Neodiprion lecontei: one gene and its partner. The protein of the gene in region 2 purifies or fractionates together with the protein of the main gene of each other region. This does not show direct contact. Links are inferred from orthologs where the notes say so. Each region holds a gene or a part of one and is shown on either strand. Other genes may lie near its edges.

Region 1 (10,491 bases), on a different chromosome or scaffold from region 2:
TATAAAAAAGTTTAATATCGCACGACGGATGCATAACTGATCTTCGCAATGCCCCCGCGTTTCAACTTGCTAAACTTGCTCTTCATTATCAAGGAGAACAATACACTTATAATATGTATGAATTGTATTAAAAAAAAAAATACAATACACTTATAATATGTATAAATTATACGTGTAATAAACGGAAGAGCGACAAACAGGTTGAGAAGTGAAAGGACAAACTAATAGAAATACACACGTTGTTTAGGCCGTATTTGTATAAGAAATATGACATGTGTATGTCGTAGGAAATGACGACCAACGAGCCATCTCGGAAGGGAGAACTAACTATTAAATGAAACGTGAAACGAAGCCACGTGGCCAGGCACCCAGGTCACCGGCTCATGAAAAGGAAGTTGCAGATTTAGTTTTGACTTGTATGTATTTTTAGTAGGATTTACCGTGTAATATGTCACGGCAACGTTAGCAAATAGCGAGACGGTGGCAAAAACAAGCGTGCAAAACAAATGATTGCACGGAGATTAGGTCGTTGACTCATCGTTGAATCAATTGTAGGACGGGAAATTACGGTTGATACCTATATTATACATATTCGATAAATAAGCGTTCAAACGGTTAACGATAAGCTTACGTCATGTAACGAGTTGTATAACAATTAAATACTGCTACATAAGGTATGTATAACGCTACGAATTTAATTGAATTTCGAACAATTTTACGGACATTTAAAAATACCAATAATGCAAATAATAATCGGAAGAGAAAAAAATCTTAAAAACTTTTTACTATACTGTATACTATATGTATATACTTCTTACTACATATAGATATTGAAGAATAGAGTTTTCGTATAGTATTTTCGTATTTGCAGAAAGGGCAGGAGGGCGAGCTTTGCGTCCTGCGGTTACCAACATCTATTATCGGATAGCCCCCCCCCCCTCCTAAAAATGTGAATATAACGCATAAGCTGCGTCGCTTCAAGAAATATTCTCTAACCACACATGGATACGATAGAAATATACGAATTCGTATCGATATCTTGAATCGGCAACGATTATTTGACGAGGGAACATCAGGCGGAGTAGCGCGATAAAATATGCAGGTTTATACCACGTGGTGATAAAGTCACACCACGGCCACGCGTGTACAAGTAGGCAGGACTGTTATCACCGGCGGACAAGTTCATATGCATAGCGTACACATATACCTATCTACTTCAATTTTGTTATATTCTAACCATTACGTAGGGGGCGGTCGCTAACACTGCAAATCGCCTTGTCCATTGCGTAACGCATCGTCGCTCCGTAGTATGTGTTACATGTACATTTTTTGGAAGTTGATGTGAGGGGGGTTGTAAAAGTGCGTTATGTGTACACATACCTACGTGTGGCCATTGGCCATACAAACCCGGGCAATGAAAAGAATTTGCATTTACACAAGGGCTTAGATGTAACCTATTTTCACAATTTGCATTATATCGATAGCAGCGGTCACGAGACTGAAACTACCAGCCAGAATTAGCGGCCAAACGTTCTAATGCTCATTTGAATAAGATAGTGAAGTACCTTAAACCTCCGATACTTTTATAGAATTACGAGGATAAGACTGAACTGCATTTTTCTATTTCCAAAAAGTTTAACCGTTTGGCTGCTAGTTTCAGCTTCATGCAGCGGTCTGTAAAACTTGTTGTCGTCATAGAGTAAATGTTGCAGAAGTTGGATTAGAATCGGTGAGCAATTCTGTGAAGGATTCGCGAAGTATCGAACGCGGAAGCTTCATATTCCGGATATTACAATATCAACCTATTTATGTTTACTTCTGCAGGAAATTTCGTGTATAACTGTTATTCTTATCGTAATATTTCAAACTGTAACTGTTATTTTCCAGTCGATTGGACAGGCCGAGTCAAGTAGAGCCGCAGGTGAAGCCTTATAGAATCGGTTATGCGCGCACACACGCACGCATACGCACACAAATGTATTATCTAGTCACGACCTATCTCAACAATAGCGTAACATATTTCAAAATATTCTTCGCGGCCGCCGGCGATAATAGTCGTGATAAAAATAACGACCATTTTTCACAAAGTTATGCCACCGCGAGGAAAAATAGTCGTGCGATCATTATTTTTTTATATGTTTAGTTGCGAGGAACAGGATGTTTTCAATATTTGGACAGAACCTCCTTCGGAAACGAAAACCAATTCCCGATTGGCGACTATCTGTGTATGGTTTCGCTGATGGAGGGGTCGTGACGTCTGCTTGACATTAACACACGAGTGACCGAACCGTGATGAATACGTGATAGTCACGGTTGATGACGAGCCTTGCACGTCGCTGTTTCGTACGTTCGTTCTTCACAGGCGAGAGAAAATGTTCGCTTGTTTTTCTTCGAGTAACGTACATTTGATTTTTTAAATAACTTACACCATCGCGACAACAATAGCCGAAGGACATTCTATGACTACGATGATTCTTTGACTAATTATGTCTGCTGAAAGAGGCGTCGTTGTGACATTATGACCACATTTGCACTATCACTCGGCTCTCGTCTTCCTGTCGCACGGCGTAAACGCACCAAGTGTTTTTTTTTTTTTTTTTTAATCTCTCTCTAATGACGAGAAATATTAAAATATTGGGCCAAGGGGCCCATAAATTTTAAACGAATTGGAGGGAAATGTGTTTCTCTAATTCGATTTACGGCTATGCAGTTTTTGTTTTTTTTTACCTTAAAACGTGTATACTTATAGCGGAAACGTGTAACAGGCGGCAAATAATAATTTTTTTGTTTTTTCGCTTCCCACCACCCACCACAAACGAACGAAGAGCGGACCGAAAGATGTCTAACGCACGACTGAAGAATGAGAGTTTATTTTCATATAAACCAGGTCGGAACGTGTTTAAATCATTATTCATTCATTAAGGATGATAATTCACGCGTAGAAGAGAATAGTAGATAATGGGCTTCCTGCATTCCCTTAGCTAATTGATCGGAGTTTCTTTGTAGTAGGTGTACGACGGAAAACGAAATATGTAAACTTAGCAGATCTATCATATCTACTAAGTAGTACTTGTCTACGTTCGGAGAACTCCTCGGCAAACGTGTGCAGTGTCTGCATTACATCCGTAGAATAAAATATCCCGATAGGCCCAAAACCGCTGCAGAGAGGAACTTGGCTATTTTGGCAAATAGATATATTATCGCTACAAGCAAGCGGCAAACCCGTGGCTCCCGGTTTTTTTGCCACCGCGCGATTGACAATCAGCCTGGAGTCTCGCGAGTTTAGTCCGGAGTCAAAGTGCGAGTATTACGTAAATCAATTTGCATTTGCGGCGTCATGTGAGAATAACAGATAATCCGCACGCAGGCTACGCTTAATACTCAGGTCAAATAGATTCCTCGTAGATTCAACGTGCGTCGTACGCGTCATGCGACGGCTTCTGAGTTTGAGCAGAGCGCGAAACGCAGGCTTATACATACGCTAATAGAAATGGTGTAGATGAAACGAATTATACACAAATAGGGTATAAAAATATCGAAATTGTGTCATCGGTTTAGGTACATACATGTACCTACATTGATACATGTAATTATATACCTACATTGCATGATATGCCTACTAACGTTGCGAATTTATTCGAGACCAACGTCGCGACTTTTCGTACCAATAACCGAGGAATTCAAAACTCGAAGCGTTGCTCCGTACTTCTTATATACATTGCCGCATTCATTCGAATAAGGATTGCGTACAGGTACCGGACGATAATTGGGCAAACAGTAATTATGTGCGGCTTAATATGTAAATGCTATAATGAAAACGAAGTAGAAAACGTATTATTCGTATTAGGGGTTGCTTTAAGGGGGTGCCCTAGTCAACTTCGACGTTGTATGTACGTGCAAATATCGAACTCCACGTACCTAAAACGTGAAAATGGGCATAACGTCCCAATTTTATACACAATTCTCAACAAAAACACTCCAATCCACTTTCATTTGACGCAGAAATACGGGAATGGCATGGATTCCATGAAATCGCAATGGTAAATTCGTTGAATTCATGCTACTTCTTTATTTCTGCGACGAATGGAAATGCATGATATTTGGAGATATATAGGTACGTCAACGTCGAATCCGACCAGGGCACCCCCCTAAGCGTAAACGACGCGTTTAACACATGATTGTTATTTCAAAACGTCACGTAATAAGCCAACATCTTCGTCACTTGACTATTTTTGAATCCCCACCGATATTGAACGGAGAGAAACTTTGCATAAATATGAGGAACAGCATTGGCTAATTATTTTTCACAAACCGCGTGACGTGATGTACATAATTGGTGTACATCAGTAAGTAAGCAACCATTAAGTCTACATTTTGTAAAGTCTACATCAGCAATATACAAAAATCGTGGAACACTTGTTCTTATGGGTTATGAAGGAGCTTGATTTTAAATCACGAAATAACGTGAGCAATTCGGGCTGCAGTCCAGCTGGTGGGAGAAAAAGTTGCATAAATAAAAGAACTAGAAATACGTGAAAAACCTTGCGTAACCCGTTGAACGCGATTGCATATTTATTGAATTGGTGGTTACGTTTCTGCCAAGGTTATTCCTGTTTCGAAATGAAAGAAATAGCAAGACATAACCGTTTTATCTTCCTATCTGGAATACTGGTCTACACTACACTACAATCAATCAGGCGTGACAGATAGTAGTCGTATTTGATTATTCCGATTGTGCAACTACCCCGTGCTCAATCAGGTTTTAATTACGCTGAAAAAGTATATATTATCGATATTGAACGTAATCTCAATCACCGCGGTCACATCAACTGTAATTCGCAATGGGCAGGCAAACAATGATATGACTGATTGAAGCAAAACTGAAATGACGAATGAATATCAGATCTCTGCGCTATTTTTTAGGTTAGTTGTGACGCAAGTTTTACGAGAAGTTCGAATTTTTTAATAGAAAGAAGAGAACCTAGTTGTTTATATACTCGACAAGAACAATTGTCAAGTAAATACAATCCCGTCGTGCGTCGCTTGCTGTTGTTTGGCTGAACATCTCTTGTCAATTGGCATCATTGTTGCAATACGGATGTAATAAAGACGAGGAACAATAAAACTATATTATCGAGATATTGGAAGGTAAGTCGTGATTATAATTCGTCGGATTGAACGAAATATTCTATAATGTTACTCACAAGTTGACAGGCGCCTCGGATAATAACGTGTAATTCAAAATTCGACTGGAAATCCGACGACGAAAACATCCATCGACACAACCGACAGGGAGCGAAAGGACGATTTAACGCTGCGCCCCGCGATCGCGAAACACCGAAGACGAACAGTTGCCACGCTGTCACCGACTAGACACCACGGATCGAACCTTATTGATGAGATTTATAGATTCTGAGAGCTGCTTTACATCATTTGCAATGAGTTGACACCAGTAAAAGTAACTGGCTCAATCTAAGGGAAATAAGAGAAAATCTATTATCAATTAACGTCAGTTGCCTTCAATATGGCCGACACGTCGGCGACACCGTCCATGGAGACTAGAGGTAAGGAGGCCGAACGCATAGGGCGGAATCGTCGAAAAGTGGACCGTAAAAGTGATGAAAGATTTTGTAGTTCGGGATGTATCCGCAAGCGATACCAGCGCCTGGTTACGAATAGGATCACGGTCTTACATACAGGTCTTGCGACTCTGAGTTTCGACGTGGGCCTCTTAACGTGTCAAGCCGCTAGCGTCGCTGCGATCGAGGGATGCCCGGTGCGACAAGGATGACGATAGTCGCGCTCGCGCGTCACATGGGCGTGGAATCCTAACCCATAAATTTTATTTACATATTATAAGACGTGTCAAAGGCTTATTCAAACATTGTAGGTTATGTTGATGCATCCCTCGATCGCAGCTCCATCTGATTTTTCTTCAACAGAGGAGCCACTCTCTACCATTGGAATTCTATTGAGTCGCAAGACCTGTATGTAAGACCGTGAATAGGATACATACGTGAGGATCGACAATTCAAAATCACCGCCATGGAGCCCCGAACGCTGTACTGCGGACGTGGGCTACGAAAGCAGTGAAAATTTTTACTGAAATACCCGCTGGCGCTGCTGTACCCAAGAGAGGATGACAGAGACGGAATGAGAAAAAAGAGAGAAGAGAATATTCATATTCGTAGCGCAGTTATACGTAAACAGATGAGAAAAACAGTAAATTGTTCGTTTGTCAATTAATTCTGTCATCATGCATTTGTTAACTAGATAATATTTTTGGGCATAATTCAAAGTCGAGTTGACCTAAACCCTAGAAATATTTATTATTAAAAATTATTTTTATACACTACGCGTCAAATCCAAATGAATTAAAAAACAACAACAAAAAGTGCGAATAGTTATTATTTAGTGTACAATAGGAATGTCCTTTTTCATACAGATAGGAAACAAAAATTTTTAAACGACAAAACATAACAATTTTATTAAAAAATTATTATTTACTGCACAATAGGAATGTTTTTTCGTACAGATAGGAAACAAACATTTTCAAACAACAAAACAAACATTTTTTAACAATAAATAATATTAACAATGCGATAAACTGCGGACTGGTGTAAATAAATCGATTTTCACCTAAATCGAAGTTCATCCAAGAGCGAAATTTTCATCGCAGACCCTCGACAATTACCGCATTATCATGAATTGTCCAGCTCCGGATGGCCCGACGAACTCAATTGTTCTTCTACTCAACACGATGAAACTAATGGTTTCTCAGTGAATAATTTATATGGAGCATTCCACCCGAATTCGACCAGGCTCCGACCCTCACCCTTTTCGATTCGACTCGAAATTTTGTATGCCGTTCACTCATATTAGTAAAGGCTACCATATTTTTTTACATTTTTCTTTTCCATCCCGTTCTCGAGTGACAATTTTTTGAAAAAATCTATGAAACCAAATTCAATCAGTGATATGTTCTAATTGAAAAACGGCTTTCCGACTCCAAATGTATTGTCTAATGATGTCTTTGATCCATTCGCTTCCGGGCTCGAATTTCGTCTTGTCCTCGTATGGAAGACTTTTTTTCGAATGTACGCTGGAAATATTGTAACATCACGTTACGATTGTACAAGCTTGTAAAGAATCTCCAAAAATTCTCAACGATCAACTTACGCTTCGGAAATAACAATCATGGGCACGAATTTTCCGTTCTGAGTCGTAAGTTATATTAGGCGGACGAGTTTTCATATCCACACAGTCAAAAAGCGCGCGAAGGTTCATCTGGACCAATTGGTTGCATCACAGGATGCACAGATGATCAGTCGATTTCCACACACTCGGTATACCGCTCGAGACGACATTCCGATCGGTCGAGCTCTTGAACACCTGCGACGTGCTGCTCTCGAAAACATCCCTTCGACCATCGGTGATCGACAAGAAACTCGCCCATCTTATTGAACAGCTTTTGTTCGGCCTCGAGCTCCTCGTAATACTGAGCGTTCGTTCTGCCTGGTGGAAATATTGTCTTGTGCAGCGAGGCCATCTGTACGAGAATACTGGCGATGCGTCTTCTTATGCTATCATTGTGCTGCCGTCGTCCTAAGCGCTTGCAGTTTGCTCTGCTGGCATCTCTCCCAGTTCAGCAGCCTGGGTAAGAACAATATTTCCCCATTGTGCACTCTGCTACCAGAAATAAACTCAAAATAAAATTTGTGATTACACATGACAATATATGAATTTTAACCTCACTTTCATGCTCGTTTTATTCAATCCGTAAATTACAATTTAATAAAGTATTGAAAATAGCATATGTATTTAAAAAAAATACCATTTTCTCACCTGCTTAGACATAATGTGGGGCAATCACTCACTACACCTTAAGACGCTGATTTTTATCACAATAAGAAAATCTTTGCAAAACTCGTTTATACGTGCAAAGACGAAAAGCCAAGAATGACGTGTAAATCACGGTCGTATATACGCAAACCCATCTCCTATCTTCGCAGCACTAGCGTTTCCCGTGGCTGCATTTCGAACCCAAATTTTCACCACTTTCAGGGTCTACGTTTATAATACTGTAACGTTCTTGGACGTTACGGAAATAAATATGGTTTCGTGAGTTTGATTATCAAGCCAAAATCAAAGGCGTAAATACATGTCATGTAAAAGCTTTAATTGCAGGGTACGTGTTTCTGGTTTTAAATCTGAAACAAGACTGTTTTTACAATAATGTTGGTTGACGCAGCAACCTTATTCTTTTTAAAGACATAAGAGGTTTATAAACGTCTTTTATCTATGATGACTACTAGATCATTAAAAGTGAGCAAAACGGGTGATTTCACCCTTTGTAACAATACTTTTCCTATAGGCGTTCGGGCTCCTTTACTCTAGGCTTCATGATCACCGCGCTGACGGAGCCCGCAGTGGTAGCGCTGCCAGTCAGGTACATCCTGCGGATCGTTCATCACTTTCACAGTCATTTTGCTAGCATTGCGTTCGGATCCTTACCTCTAGTCTCCATGACACCGTCATTGACTACCTGCCCAACAAGATAGTAGACTTCTTAAGATCGAAAATGCTTGACTTATCGAACTCTGTCTAACTATTACGCAGCGTTTGGAGACTTTCATCCTCAGATATTACTGTAGGTAGCTGCCACCCATGCCGTCAACCCAGCCCCCTGACACTCAAGTGGACACTCACCACTGCTCGTATACTAAAAAATTGTACGCGTTTTGTCCCAGTTTTTTAGTTCCTCTACCCGGCGCTAGTTGACTTCTGACACGCTCGCTGCCCTTGCTGACCGCGTGCAAGCTCGTCAGGTAACTACTAGCGCTACTAGTAGTGGAAATTGGCGGCAGAATCGAGGGACATCTTGCGAACCACTTTTAGCAGCGTGTTTCAGGGGGCTGCGTCAAACTAGCGAAAACTGAAACCGAAGTGATGAGAGGAGATATATACTAGGAATACTCCGTCTCTCTCACTTTGCATTCGAATGGCTGAGAGGAAACGTATCGACGAATCCGGTACAGAGCGAGAGAAACAGGATATAATGGCATCTCTCTCCCTTACCCCTCCGCCACACTTATTGTACATGCGTGGCTACCTCCTATAGTATATGTTTTAAGCTTCCACGATAACTGAACTTACACGAACAGTTTCTAAAATGTCTGATGATCTTTCATCCGTTATAAATTAAACTGGCGAAAGGACGCTAATCGTAAATTGCTTCAAAGAATGATATTTTTTTTCTCGGAATTATATATTAAAATATGTTTATCAACTATATTATATTACATAATATATATCGCTCAATGAATCTTACAGCATGGAATGTGTGTACTACATTAACCAATCTTATTTTTTCGATTTTGTGATATTTTAAATATTATAATAAAATATTTTCCGTTCAATAATTGATTTAACTCTCCGACAGTTTCATCGCTCTGTGATCATGAACAGGAATAACATTCTTAATGATATTTATAGTACATTCATTCATCTCAGGCATGAATTGGACCGTACTGATCGAATATCCGTAACTGAATCGTCAGTTTGATCAATTCTTGGTTACTGTCCAACGTTGTTGGAATAAGATATCCTGGATGTTCGTTTAGTCTTTACCGAATTTGAAAATTTTAATTTTCGTTATTCTTTTTAGGAAAATATCCAAGTAATCCATCGTCATTGCAATCATTTACAGGAAAATTAGTTGGCATAGTCTTCAATAAGGATTAGACCCTGCCCTCTAGTTTTGCCAAAACGTCGTGTGCGTGTTCAATAACGCTATAGATGTAAGGTCTTTCCATTGGATTAGCTTTCAACATCGAAAGAATTAATTGCTGAATATCCTGCAACAAGGACCATAAACGAGCCATTACAAAAACACACTACGAAGTTAACAGTACTTTTGTTAAAATATTATTTCAGTCGGTTAATCAGTTACCTCATTGTATGGGGCACTTTCAGGGAATGAAATATTAGCGCTCATCACAGCCAACGCTACACTGTCCCCTCGCTCATACACGGTATCAAATGGTGATTTGAAATAACAAAGTGCATACAAAATACAGCCAAGCGACTATAACAAAAATGAACGTCTCAACTTGAATTATTTACTCTAATATTCGTAATAAGCCAAGTGAATTTGGATAGTACATGTTTTCTTGAATATAACATTATATAATAGTAACGTACCCAAATATCCGTCCTCTCATCAATCATACAATAACTGTCTACATTAAATAATTCTGGTGCTCTATAAGGCATCGAGCACCTTTCAGCGGCAACGTCCTGTAATGTTTGCGCCGTATGTGCTCCGCATACTTTGATCCGGGCTTGTGCTACTGATCCTACAAAATTATTATTGAAAAACATGGCTACAACCATAACAATCCGGTGAAATTATATCTGTATTATCTATTATGATGCAAGAGAAAGTTTACCCAAATCCATAATCACTGGGGTAAGCCCTTCGCCAAGAAC
Region 2 (11,222 bases):
AAATAAATAAAAAAAAACCAAAACAAAAACGCGAAAGTGATAGAAACGACTCGCTTGTCGCCCCCGTAACTTTACGCCATAGAGCTATGGGGTCTGAACCCTATTGCGTGTAATACAACGCGGCTTAAATGAGACTTGAAAACGAACTCCCGCTGCTTTCGTATACGAATTAACACGTGTTCGTCGATCAGTTTTTCCTTCCTTCCTTCTCCATTGCTGCACCACCACGGTACATATATGTATATGCATACGTGTGTAAGTGTATATGCATATATATATATTTTATATATATATAATCACTACCCGGGGCAAGTGGCAGAGCAGAGCAGAGCGGCACTACAGTTCCGAGAATATTTCTTTCAATCGAATTTCTTTATTTATTCTATTATTATTGCGATCGCCGCCCTACCCTCACCCCTCTTTGATCCGTCGCGCGAGTCTCTTTTTCTCTTTCTCTCCCTCTCTCGCTGTTCTGTAAATTATACATACTTATACATGTAATGTACATATAATAGTGGCAGACTGTTGCGAACGATAAAGAAATTTAATTTTACGTATTATAAAAAAACCAATTACACGGATGTTGTGTACGTTTGATAAATCGCGGTAACGAGTTGTTCGCGTGTATACTTCGGTACGTGTGTGAAAATTGAAAAGTAAACAATAAAATTATCGAATCACAGAAAAAGAAACTGTTTCTTAATTGGTTAATCAATTAATTATTCCATACCTAATCTGTACCGCGTGCAGGGTGAAATCGTGGGTCAAGACGGTCAGATCTCGGAGGTAAAAGATTTGGTCAGCGAGAATAAATAAACATGAAAAAGCGTAAGACACAAATTGAAAAAACAAGTGACAGGCTTTAAAATTCATATTGGAATTATCCGATTCGAGGGACGTGGATATTTGTTCTTAGCATTCGGAAATCGGTAATTAGTTTCGAGATGTATACCAATGTAATTTGCATCGTTTCATTGTTCGGATACATATTATATACGTTGCAGGGTGAAAGTGATAGCACTTAGAAACTTGTTGGGACGAAAAATTGAAATAAATTTACACTTCGACGGAGAAAGAAAGAAAAAAAAGATAAAAAAAACAACAACAACAACGACAACCCTGTGGAATATTCTACGTAAGAGAATGAATGTATGAATGAATCGAGTTGTGTGGCAATTCGTGACATGTAACATTTACTCACGTTCTCTCCGCGAATGCGAGTTGCTGGTTTTTCTCCTTCGACGATTAAGTTGGCGAAAGGACGGGGTTCCGAGAAGCACCTCGAGTAAAGATACGTCACTGTCAATTGCAACGAGTCAGAGTGCGTGCGGCGAGCGTTTGTTGTTTGTTGGCGGTTACTCGTAGCGTAAATCTCCCAACGTTCTCCTCAGGATCCGACGATCCCCTGCTTTAAGGGCGATTGAAAATAAAAAGAAGAAGAATGTAAGAAGAAGCGAATAGTGAGAAAAATTGCAAAAGTAAACGCAAAGTTAAGTAAGTTGCGGCGAAGGTAAAGTAATATTGAAATGAGAAGAATCAAACAAAAAAATAGAAAAAAGAAGGATGCGAAACAAAACAACGCCGGGGAATAAAATCACTCACTTCGTGTATATGCGTGTATTTCGTAACGAGGATCGACGCAGGCTCGATAATCCCCCGGAATCGATCTAAACTCTCGTGCGGATCGAGCGAGGCAGGTAGGCGATACGATGCGCCTCGGCTATCGGCGGAATTCGCTCCCCGTCCGTCAGACTGGCCGATATTGTGTGAAATCAGTCGCCGCTGCCCCACGCCAATGTGGGCATGCATGCAGTGGACGGCGCTAGGCTCTCTCGGTCGAAGGAACGAACCGACTACTCCTCGCGAGGCTAGCAGGCTCGCGAGGGGCACAAGCACAAGATTAACCCGCGGTATCGAGCAAGACGACGGTCGTAATTGCTGGCCGAGTTCGGCGAGACTGGTGCGCGCTGTGGAGTACTGGCCGACACGCACGATTAAACACCCGCGTTGCTGAAACGGAAGTTCGGGAAACGATTCACATTTTTGAGCACGTTATTTGTCACTAATGTTTACACACCACCGTCCATGATGTCGCATAGCATTATGGCGGCCGTGTTTACGGGCGACGCGCGTCACTGCCTCGACTGCCTGCTGATGCTGCCGCCGCCGCTGCTCGAAGGCTCAAACAGGCAGAGCCATAGCCAGAGCTACCGGCGCCCCCGGTGACCGAGAACAGAGGCGATCCCAACCACTAACCCAACGGTCGACGACACGCGCGCACCGCCGACGCACGTCACTCGACAATCGCGTGTGCGCCGCGCTCGCACCAATTCTCATTACAACGCGATCGAATCCCCCCTTTTCACATCTCATTCGGCTCTTCTCTGGCTAATCGAATATCCGCACGGGTTGCGCTTGCTTCAGACCCTCCCCGCAAACCGCATTCAGCTACTGCAGCTACTGCAGCAGCTGCAGCAGCTAGTCGTTCGCGGATCTCGACGATGTCTGGCGACTCCGTTGTGAAACGGGAAACTGATTGACTGGTTCGATTGATTTATGTAGGCATTCTCTGGGTGTTCAACGTCGCTGATAATTACGAGGTTGACGAAAAAACTTAGACTGTTATCCCAGGGGCATATTTTCGTGACCATTGATCGGCAGGTAAGTGGGCCTGAGGCGTTGAGAAGCCGTGTTTAAAACGATACGGTAGCTTCTTTATCGGCGGGAGGCGTTCAACACGCAATCCCATCATCGCACGAATACCCCATTAGGGTAACCGTCTTTGATAGCCTTCGGTCAAGGACTGATATTTTGAGTCGAAGAGGAAATTGCCATGCTCGCAAAACGTTTCCGCACGTTTTAGGCATGCAAGAAACCACTGTTTTATCTCGGTCGGGCTGACCTTGTTTTGTAAATTCATCGACGGCGTTTCAGGATGATTCCAATTGGTAGGGCATGTATGTAAAGATGATGATAAGGTATTCAGGGCCTTATCGCTCGCCTTGCTGCACTAACGGAGTCCCCCGAAACTCCGAAATGGGACGTCATACCGTAAGATCAACTCTGCAAAGAGAACGCAATTTCTGCATTTATTTTTGGCAATTGCATGCTATTTTTGCCTATGCTATATTTTGACAACACAATGCAACGCATTTACAAGATCAGAGGCATAATAAGAACAAATATGTGTATACAATATTTTAATTATCAATAGATATAGATAATGTTGTTATATATGCATGTAGTATGTTTACATTATGTATTTATATTTATTATCTTTATTGGAATAAATAATAAGCGGTTGTACTTTACTTTTCAGCACAATTCAAGATAAAGTATCGCAATCAATATTTGCCTAAAAAAAAAAAAAAAAAAAAATGGCTACGTACGACGATGAATATGATGGCTTTTCCTGTTGAAGTTTCATGTTAAAATTTGGAAAGATCACCTGGTATTTACACCTGATTCCTCGATTATCTTGAAACACGACACTTTTTGTCTCCCCTCGCAACATGTATTCAGGTGATGGAGGAATCGGATGTTAATGCCAAATGTAGCGTATGCGTTACAGAACTTGCCTTCATGGGCTAGTAAATTAAAATTTTTTTGTCTTATTTTTATTATTAGATACGTTATGAACTATTTCATAGTATATTTTCCGTTTTTCACATAATTAGTATTTATTTATTTTTTCCTTTTCTCTTTCCTGTAATATCCTTACTCATCATTTGGTTAGTCGTCACCCGATAGATTGCTTGTATGCATACCCATCAACATATAAAAAGTCTACCACTTGCGAGTTTACGTGGAGAAGACGAAAAATTATGCAACGAGGTTGAAAAGAATAATAAAATAAATACAGGAATACTTGAAAGAGATAAGTAAAATTACAATTTATAGACAGCATGGTACCATCTTGGGGTACATAATTTATACACGGAAATATGTAAACTTTGGAACGAATTTAGCAATATAGTAAATAAAACTATTCGTAGTAAAGTACAATGCGACAATATTTATTATTCCTTTTAGCTCAATTATTTACCGATACAAAAAACTTGCCCAATTTCAGACATTGGGAAATTCGTAATTCGTATTTGCAGATTTTTCTGAAAAATCGAGAAAAGGTATTTGACCGATTTGACTAGCAAATCGCATCACAATACAATATAATAGACAAAACAGCAAAGGCAAGCACTCGCTGGAGTCGAAAACCTCATTCACCCAATTGTATGTAGAATACGATAAAAATTGTAAAATTAACGTATCATTAACTAAATGTAAAGCCGTCTTCATCGTAATGAAGGAACACAGCGATGATAGAATGTTATATTGTATTACGTTGTTATCTTCTAAGGCGGGTACAGCTGGTAAATTCTTATAGATATTGTTGGCTGTTCCATTCCCCTGTCTTTTTCAATGTATTGCTACAAGTCCGGATTCAAGAAGCTTTTGTATTTTTGCCGCAATGTCAGGATTTTTCAGATGGCTGCAAAGGATTAAAGAAAGAATTACTAAAATGAACTAAATTATCACAGAATTACGCATGAGAATTTTGTACTATGGTATACCTTCAGCAAGGTGTATAGCTGTCATCGAAAGAAGCGTGATTCTACACTACATTCATCTTTTCTGAACCAGATTAATTGAGATCATTAACTATGGGTTATGCAAATAACAATAAACTTACTCTTGGAGTGCTTTTGGATCGCTCTGCATTTGCTCAAGAATCAAACGCATCGCAGGATCTCTGAGGATGTTCTGAACCTCCGGGTCAGCCATGGCTCTCTTTCTGACTTCCTCGGGATTGGAGCTAACAGCGACGGTACAGGACCGGTAGCCATCAAGCGCTTCGCTATTGGATGGGTCTATTTCTAATGCTTTCTGATAAGCGGACAGAGCTTTTCCTTGCTGCTGCATTCCTTGGAGGATTTTACCCTTTCTTATCCATCCCTTGATGAATTTTGGGTCAATTTCTACGCACTTCTCACAGTCTTTTAGCCCCAAGTCAAAAGCTACAAGTTTAGTATAACAGGCTGCTCTGTTACTGTAATATTTTGGCTCATCAGGGTTTCTCAAAATGGCTTCTGAGTAGTGTTTTACTGCTCCAACGTAATCTCCGTCCTTAAACTTTTGGTTGCCAAGTTCTTTTTCTTCCTCAGCTTTGATCGGGTCAATATAAGCTTTTCTCTCCTGCTCCTTAATTTTCTTATCGATATCGGACAGGAGGGTTTTAATCTCGGGTGTTCTGTGCTCGGACATAGATTTTTCGTAATAAACTTTAGCTTGTTTCCAATTCTCTAATTTCTTATAGGCATTCCCAATTCGAGTGAACGCCTTCGCTATAAGTTTAAAATCCGCCCTATTTTCCCGACCAACTTCAATGGCCTGTTCGCATTGTTCTATACATTTTTGGTACTCTTTTTGCTCAAAGTAAACTGCTGCGACATTGTTTCGATACGTAATATCCGTAGGGTCAAGCTCGATGGCTTTATTATAATGTTCCAAGGCGGCCTCGAAGTTTTTCTTCTTATATGCTTCGTTTCCCAACTCTTTTTCTCGTTTGGCTGCCTTCTTCTCTTCAGGAAGATTCTCATCCTCTTTTTTCTCGGGTTTTGCTTCCTGTGTAGGCTGCGAAGTCTCTCTCGTAGGCTTTGGAGGGTCGACATCCATAGGCTCGTCCATGTCTCCAGGATTCAGTCCAAGAAGTACGCTCAAAGTCGTAAGTACTCGATTATCTTGCAACCTAGCGCCTAGAACCCTGGGGTTACTTCTGAGCTCCTGGATCAGTTTGACATACTCGGGGTCATCGAGGTACGCTCTAGTCCTTGGATCGCTGCGCAATTTTACGAAAATATCTGGGGCGTTGAAGGGATTTGCGTCACTCCTCTGCGCCTGCACTTCGGACAAGCCCTCCCTCAACTGCTGATTATCAGGGTCTAATTTGAGACCCTCTTCGTAAGCCTTTATCGATTCGTCCAATCTACCGAGGTACGCGAGGGCGCTACCCTTTCTGGAGTAGCCCTTAACCCAGTCAGGCTTTAGCTCTACTGTTTTCGCAGCATCGTCTAGCGCCTGCTCGTACTTTTCAGCTTTGGCATAAGCAGCCGATCTGTTGCTATACAATACGTGGTTGCTACCGTCCAAGGCGATTGCCTCAGTGTAATACTTGACCGCTTCATCATATTTACCTTCTTGCAGCGCGGCGTTGCCTTTGTCTTTCAGTGCTGACACCTAGAGCGATAATCAAACATTGCAGAGGTTATTGTCAGGAGTGAAAAAAATACAAAATGTTGTTCAAAACTGACGTAGGAGTAGCATTTTTACCACGGTAATGGTCATGCTATCACCGTTTTATCAAATAACAGTCGCAAAAATACGGGAAAACGGAGAGCTTTTGGATAAATTTATTCGCAGCGACAACGTGAATGACTATTTAGCCGATCGACAAAGGAACGGATAAACAAATTACGGAATAAACAAAACGTTTGTAACAATGGAATGATTGCAAAGCCGCGTGAGCTTCAACGGTCGACGACGTAGCCCGAACGCGTGCATCGTGAGGACGGAGAGCGTAGTTATATATCTTGTGCGTCGGAGAAATTACGGCGAAAAATGAAGAGGTATCCTTGAAAACATTTACGAATGATCGGATTGTGCAATTTTGGGAAATTAATTACGCTCGTAATTATTTACTTTACCTTTTCCATTACGCCGGTGACTTCCGTGCGCTTAAGGTTCGCTCGCGTCGATCAAAACTGTCTGACTCTTTCCCTGTGCGCCGCTTCGAATGCTTCGACGATTTAGGCAGAAAGCTCTGGAAGTATTCTTGTTTGGCATACGAGGACCGCCGCTGGCGCCGTGCGCCCATCGAACGAACCAGAACATGCGCAAAATAGCGATGATTTAGCACATCCTTGAGTAGAGCACTCGGTAGCCATTATTGCGCGGGTTACCATCGTTCACGCGATCCTCGGTGGAGCAGTCTTACCGACCGCAAATAACAGTACCGACTGATGTCCCTGACGCGCGTGATTTAAAAAAGTTTCATTGCAGTTCTCTCATTCTCATGCCAATTCTGAAAAATAAACAGACTATGATTAAAAAAGGATTATTCTATCATTTCAAACAGATTTTCATATCTAATCTCTAAGATGTCTTAAAATGATTGTATACGTCCAAAAAAAAAAAAAAAAAATTCTCGCGTTCAGGAGAGAAATAATCAGATTGGAATGTGTTGTTGTTATTCGTTAATGATTTCTGATGTACGGTTTACCGTTTGACTTGTCACGAAATGTTACGTCAGGTCAAAAATAAAATGTGAACTAAACGTATTAATCCCTCTCACCGTTCAGGCAGTGCTGTGCCATCTGAATTTGTAACTAGATTTATTCAGCTCGTATGTCAGGTCACGATTGACTGTAAATCAATCGCTACCTTTCTTTCGTGGCTGTATATTTTCCGAGGTACCATGGTGTGTATCACAGTTTTCCCGTACAAATTATATATACAGTTTGCCTCTGTCTAATAATTGTGAGGACAATTTAAGACGTGGAGGAATTACAGATAATAGAGTGGGGGTAAAAATCGAGAGAAATATCAGAAAATGGAAGAGTCACAACAGCGAATTTTGAAAAATATCAACATTTATTTCGTAGAGTTTCAAATCTAGAAGTGTCAGGATTCCATGTATTGGTTTCCCATACTTTAAACCTTTTCACGTTTTGACTTTACTATATTTCAACTTTCTACTGGTTAAAATTCTGTGAAACAAATTTTCAGCTTCTTACAAATTCGGTATTGCGACCTTTCTATTTTCTAGTCCGTCTACATTTTAGCCCCACCTCTGTCTTCATACCGATACACCTAAAGGAAAAACTCACAAGAATTTCCAGAAACATCCTGTACGCAATGACAGAAGTAACGTTCACTGATGGTATCCCTACAAAATTCTTGTACTCATTCCGATGACACAATGCTGGACTTCAATGTTGTCAAAAAGTATTTGTCATCGGGTCATTTGCGCAACTTTCATGTATCCATATTTCATGTCTGCCGATAAATTACTCTAACATATTCAGGTATATCAGCTTTCGACCCTCCAACGGTTCATGCTAATTTCGTACAAACACGAAGGCCCGTTTATTTTCGCGCATTACAGAGCTATAATTATAATTGACCGGATGTTATTCCGTACCGCGGTGAGAAAGTATATTGTAATTCTTTAGCGTTAAGCTCGTCGTATTTATTAACGTCGAGAACGGCTCTGTGCATATAATTTCGGCAGATGCCTCATGTATGCACCGACACACTCGTCTTTCACGGCGTTATCGCGCGTCATACGCGAAAGTGAAAATAGTTTACCGGAGACACGTGAAGAGTTACAATAAATATATTACAGATGCGAGGAGAAATTCACGGAAACGTGGAACCGTCTAACGCATTTCGTCATCGAAAACTCCAACGTGTTGTGCGGTTTTTCCGCTTTGTTATTGTATTAAAAGTTACGTATGTTATGAAAGGCAAGCAGAATGCATCTGCTGACCGTAAGCGCCTCACGCCGAAAACAAAAGCACCTCCATTTTTGGAAATGATGTAATAAATTCCCGTCTCTCGATTTACGCGCAATCACTCGCCGGTTTTATACTCGCTCTATACCTTATACCCAATTCAAACTATTTCCTCATGCACCTACTTCGTGGGTAGGTCTGTACTATAATACGTTACATATACGTGACAAGCAAAACATGCGACGTCGCCGGCTTCTATTATCGGTAAAAATTCCTGATCACTCGATTATCGCCCTGAAGCACGTCAGCTTAATTCCCCACTGACCGAATTGCTCCACATAGCAATGGCGCGCTAACAGCCGAATAGTCTGCATCGGAGATATTATACCAGAACCGCAATCCGTGGTCCCTCGATATTTTGCGGTCAAATAGGAGGGGATAAATTTTAAACAGAAATTTACTTGGTCAGTCGCCGGATTCGTAGGATGTTGTGCATGCGTTAATCGATCAGCTGATCGCGATATCCGCGATCTAGGCCCTCTCTCGACCCAATGATTTCTCCTTTTACGGCCGGTATACGCATAAGAACTTTTTGTCAGCCGCCTGTATCGTTGAAACTGGTTTTACACGTATACCGTACTGTCCAACTCATCGTCAGTTCTAGATGCGGCATTTTCAACGCGCCTGCGTTGGAATTCCCAGGGGCTACTGGGGAATCCCAGTCCCACCGAATGGAACCTCGAACCGTGTACAACGAACGCGCTGGCTGCGATTCTAGAGAGCCTCGCGAAGCGAAAAGCCGCAGCCGCAAGCTCGTGATCGAGAACTGCGGAAAGAAAGGTGTATAAATTACAATGGCTGTATAATAAAGGTACGCGTCTTCGATCTCTCCGGCGGTAAATCTGCTTCGAATTATACGCGTATCATCTACTCGCAGGCCGCAGGGTTCATTGCCAGAAGCTTCTTTTTCCATTTATTTTTATACCTTTCGTTGTTGTGCGGGCAAGGTAATTGAACGCTGCACTGCGGATGTTGTCGAGATCTGAAGTTGATAAGAAGAAAGTTTCGTATCATATTGACGAGTGCGATTAATTATACATCATCCACTGTTTCCTCATAGGCCGTAAAGACCCGTCGTTACAAGCGTTAAAAATTATATTACCCAGTTAACGCGAGACGTTGAAGGCATAAAACTTACAGCATCAATAATTCTAATTATTCATGAGTTTCTCGGAACGGTTTTGCCGTGTTCGCTCGCATTATTCGTGTTGCGTAATACGCGAAAGGTCGTACGACCGCAATGTCGGTACAAATGCACCATCAGCGGGCTTTACTTTTGACATTCTTTTTGAAATTGCCTCACATCCAGTCATCCATATTCCCATGTACGTAGCTCAACCAGGATCTCGATACTTGCCAAATTTTCGCATCAAGTTCCGGTGCGCTTGTTGTCGGAGCATCGTTGTCATACCGGTTTCACGAACAGTACCTAATGCAAGTCAGTATCCGAATAATTTCATTAGACGAAATTCCGGATTTTGATAAAAATCCGGGATCAGACGATGACGCAGGGGTCTGGAGTTCGGACCTCATGCGTAACGTCAAGTTAAACTCGGTCTACTGCACGCGTAGGCATTTGGAGCAAATAAAACGGTGGCAGGTATTTATAGGCAACGAAAAACCGTGTGCTTGTACAACCGTACGGATATAAATACAATAAGCACGTAGAGATAAAGCGTGCAGGGGAAAGACGTTCTTCCCAGACGTCGAGATGGAGGATGCACACGCATCCTCCAAGGCACGCTGGGACTTCGGCCAAATATACATACCGGGGACTTGTAGGTACGGCACCTTATCCACGTGACTAATCCGGCAAAGCCTAAAGTAGAGAATGAGGAGTAGAGCAAACTTCCCCAAAAAAGAGCAAACAGTGATAAAAGACCGCTGGCGAACGTCTGCGACGTGTCTCTATGAGATGGAAATATATATACCCCTCGCACTGCCTTCGCGAATATACCCTGATGTGTGCTGCGGCGCTAAGTTGATCCGGCGAATACCAGTTTTCGGTTCATCTATGCCAGAACAATCTGAGACAACTTTTATTCCCATCCATATGGATAAACGCTTCGTGGAAATCGCTTAGTGTGCAGAGAGAGAAACAGAGGCAGACTTGTTGGATCCGAAAAAAATTGACGGCTGAAAGTGATCCACAAATTAAGTTACCGGTTTGTGGGGGGGGGACCTCCGAAGTAACGTTACCTTTCGAAAATGAGAAATTTTAATTTTTCTGACAAGGTTTTATTATTGATGTTATTTGAATTTGAAAATAAAACTTGCGTCGAAAACGTAACGTTACTTTAGGGGGTCGGATTAAAATCTAGGGTTGTCTAAATAAGTTGAAAAGTGGTGACATAGTTTATGGACGGCTCCTTAACTGGGATCACTTAAGCGTTATCGAACTTTCCAGTCTTGGTTCCGGGAATGAATTAATGAAGAACTCGTTAAGTGGATACTATCGAAGAATGATTTAAACGGACCAGTATGAGATAACTTTGACAAGTTGGGAAAACACGGATGCCGTCACGTTTCACCCTGATTGTTTTCTGACAGACGTAATATACTTTCGGAATGTTAACAAAAATAAAGAACCGTAATGCGAATTAAGGTTCAATCTTTGTGAAAGGCATTTAGTGTTGCTTTGATGACTATTTC

What was found.
Region 1: the proteins of stress-induced-phosphoprotein 1 (region 2) and ATP-citrate synthase fractionate together in Homo sapiens (co-fractionation; 3 studies listed by BioGRID, with this or other methods). This does not show direct contact. The link is inferred for Neodiprion lecontei from reciprocal best matches to the Homo sapiens genes STIP1 and ACLY.

Annotation. Positions count from the first base shown.
Region 1 is NC_060263.1:14,397,621-14,408,111, reverse strand, and holds the start of ATP-citrate synthase, read right to left. Parts: upstream 5,344-10,491; 5' UTR 5,205-5,343; intron 5,149-5,204; exon of another isoform or gene 4,970-5,148; intron 4,465-4,969; exon of another isoform or gene 4,360-4,464; intron 1-4,359. Other genes in the region: serine/threonine-protein kinase 16, read right to left, coding at 9,741-9,857, 9,953-10,087, 10,204-10,358, 10,452-10,491. UniProt on the Homo sapiens protein: Catalyzes the cleavage of citrate into oxaloacetate and acetyl-CoA, the latter serving as common substrate in multiple biochemical reactions in protein, carbohydrate and lipid metabolism.
Region 2 is NC_060262.1:38,142,489-38,153,710, forward strand, and holds stress-induced-phosphoprotein 1, read right to left. Parts: upstream 6,853-11,222; 5' UTR 6,711-6,852; coding exon 6,702-6,710; intron 6,235-6,701; coding exon 4,691-6,234; intron 4,490-4,690; coding exon 4,417-4,489; 3' UTR 3,996-4,416; downstream 1-3,995. UniProt on the Homo sapiens protein: Acts as a co-chaperone for HSP90AA1. Mediates the association of the molecular chaperones HSPA8/HSC70 and HSP90.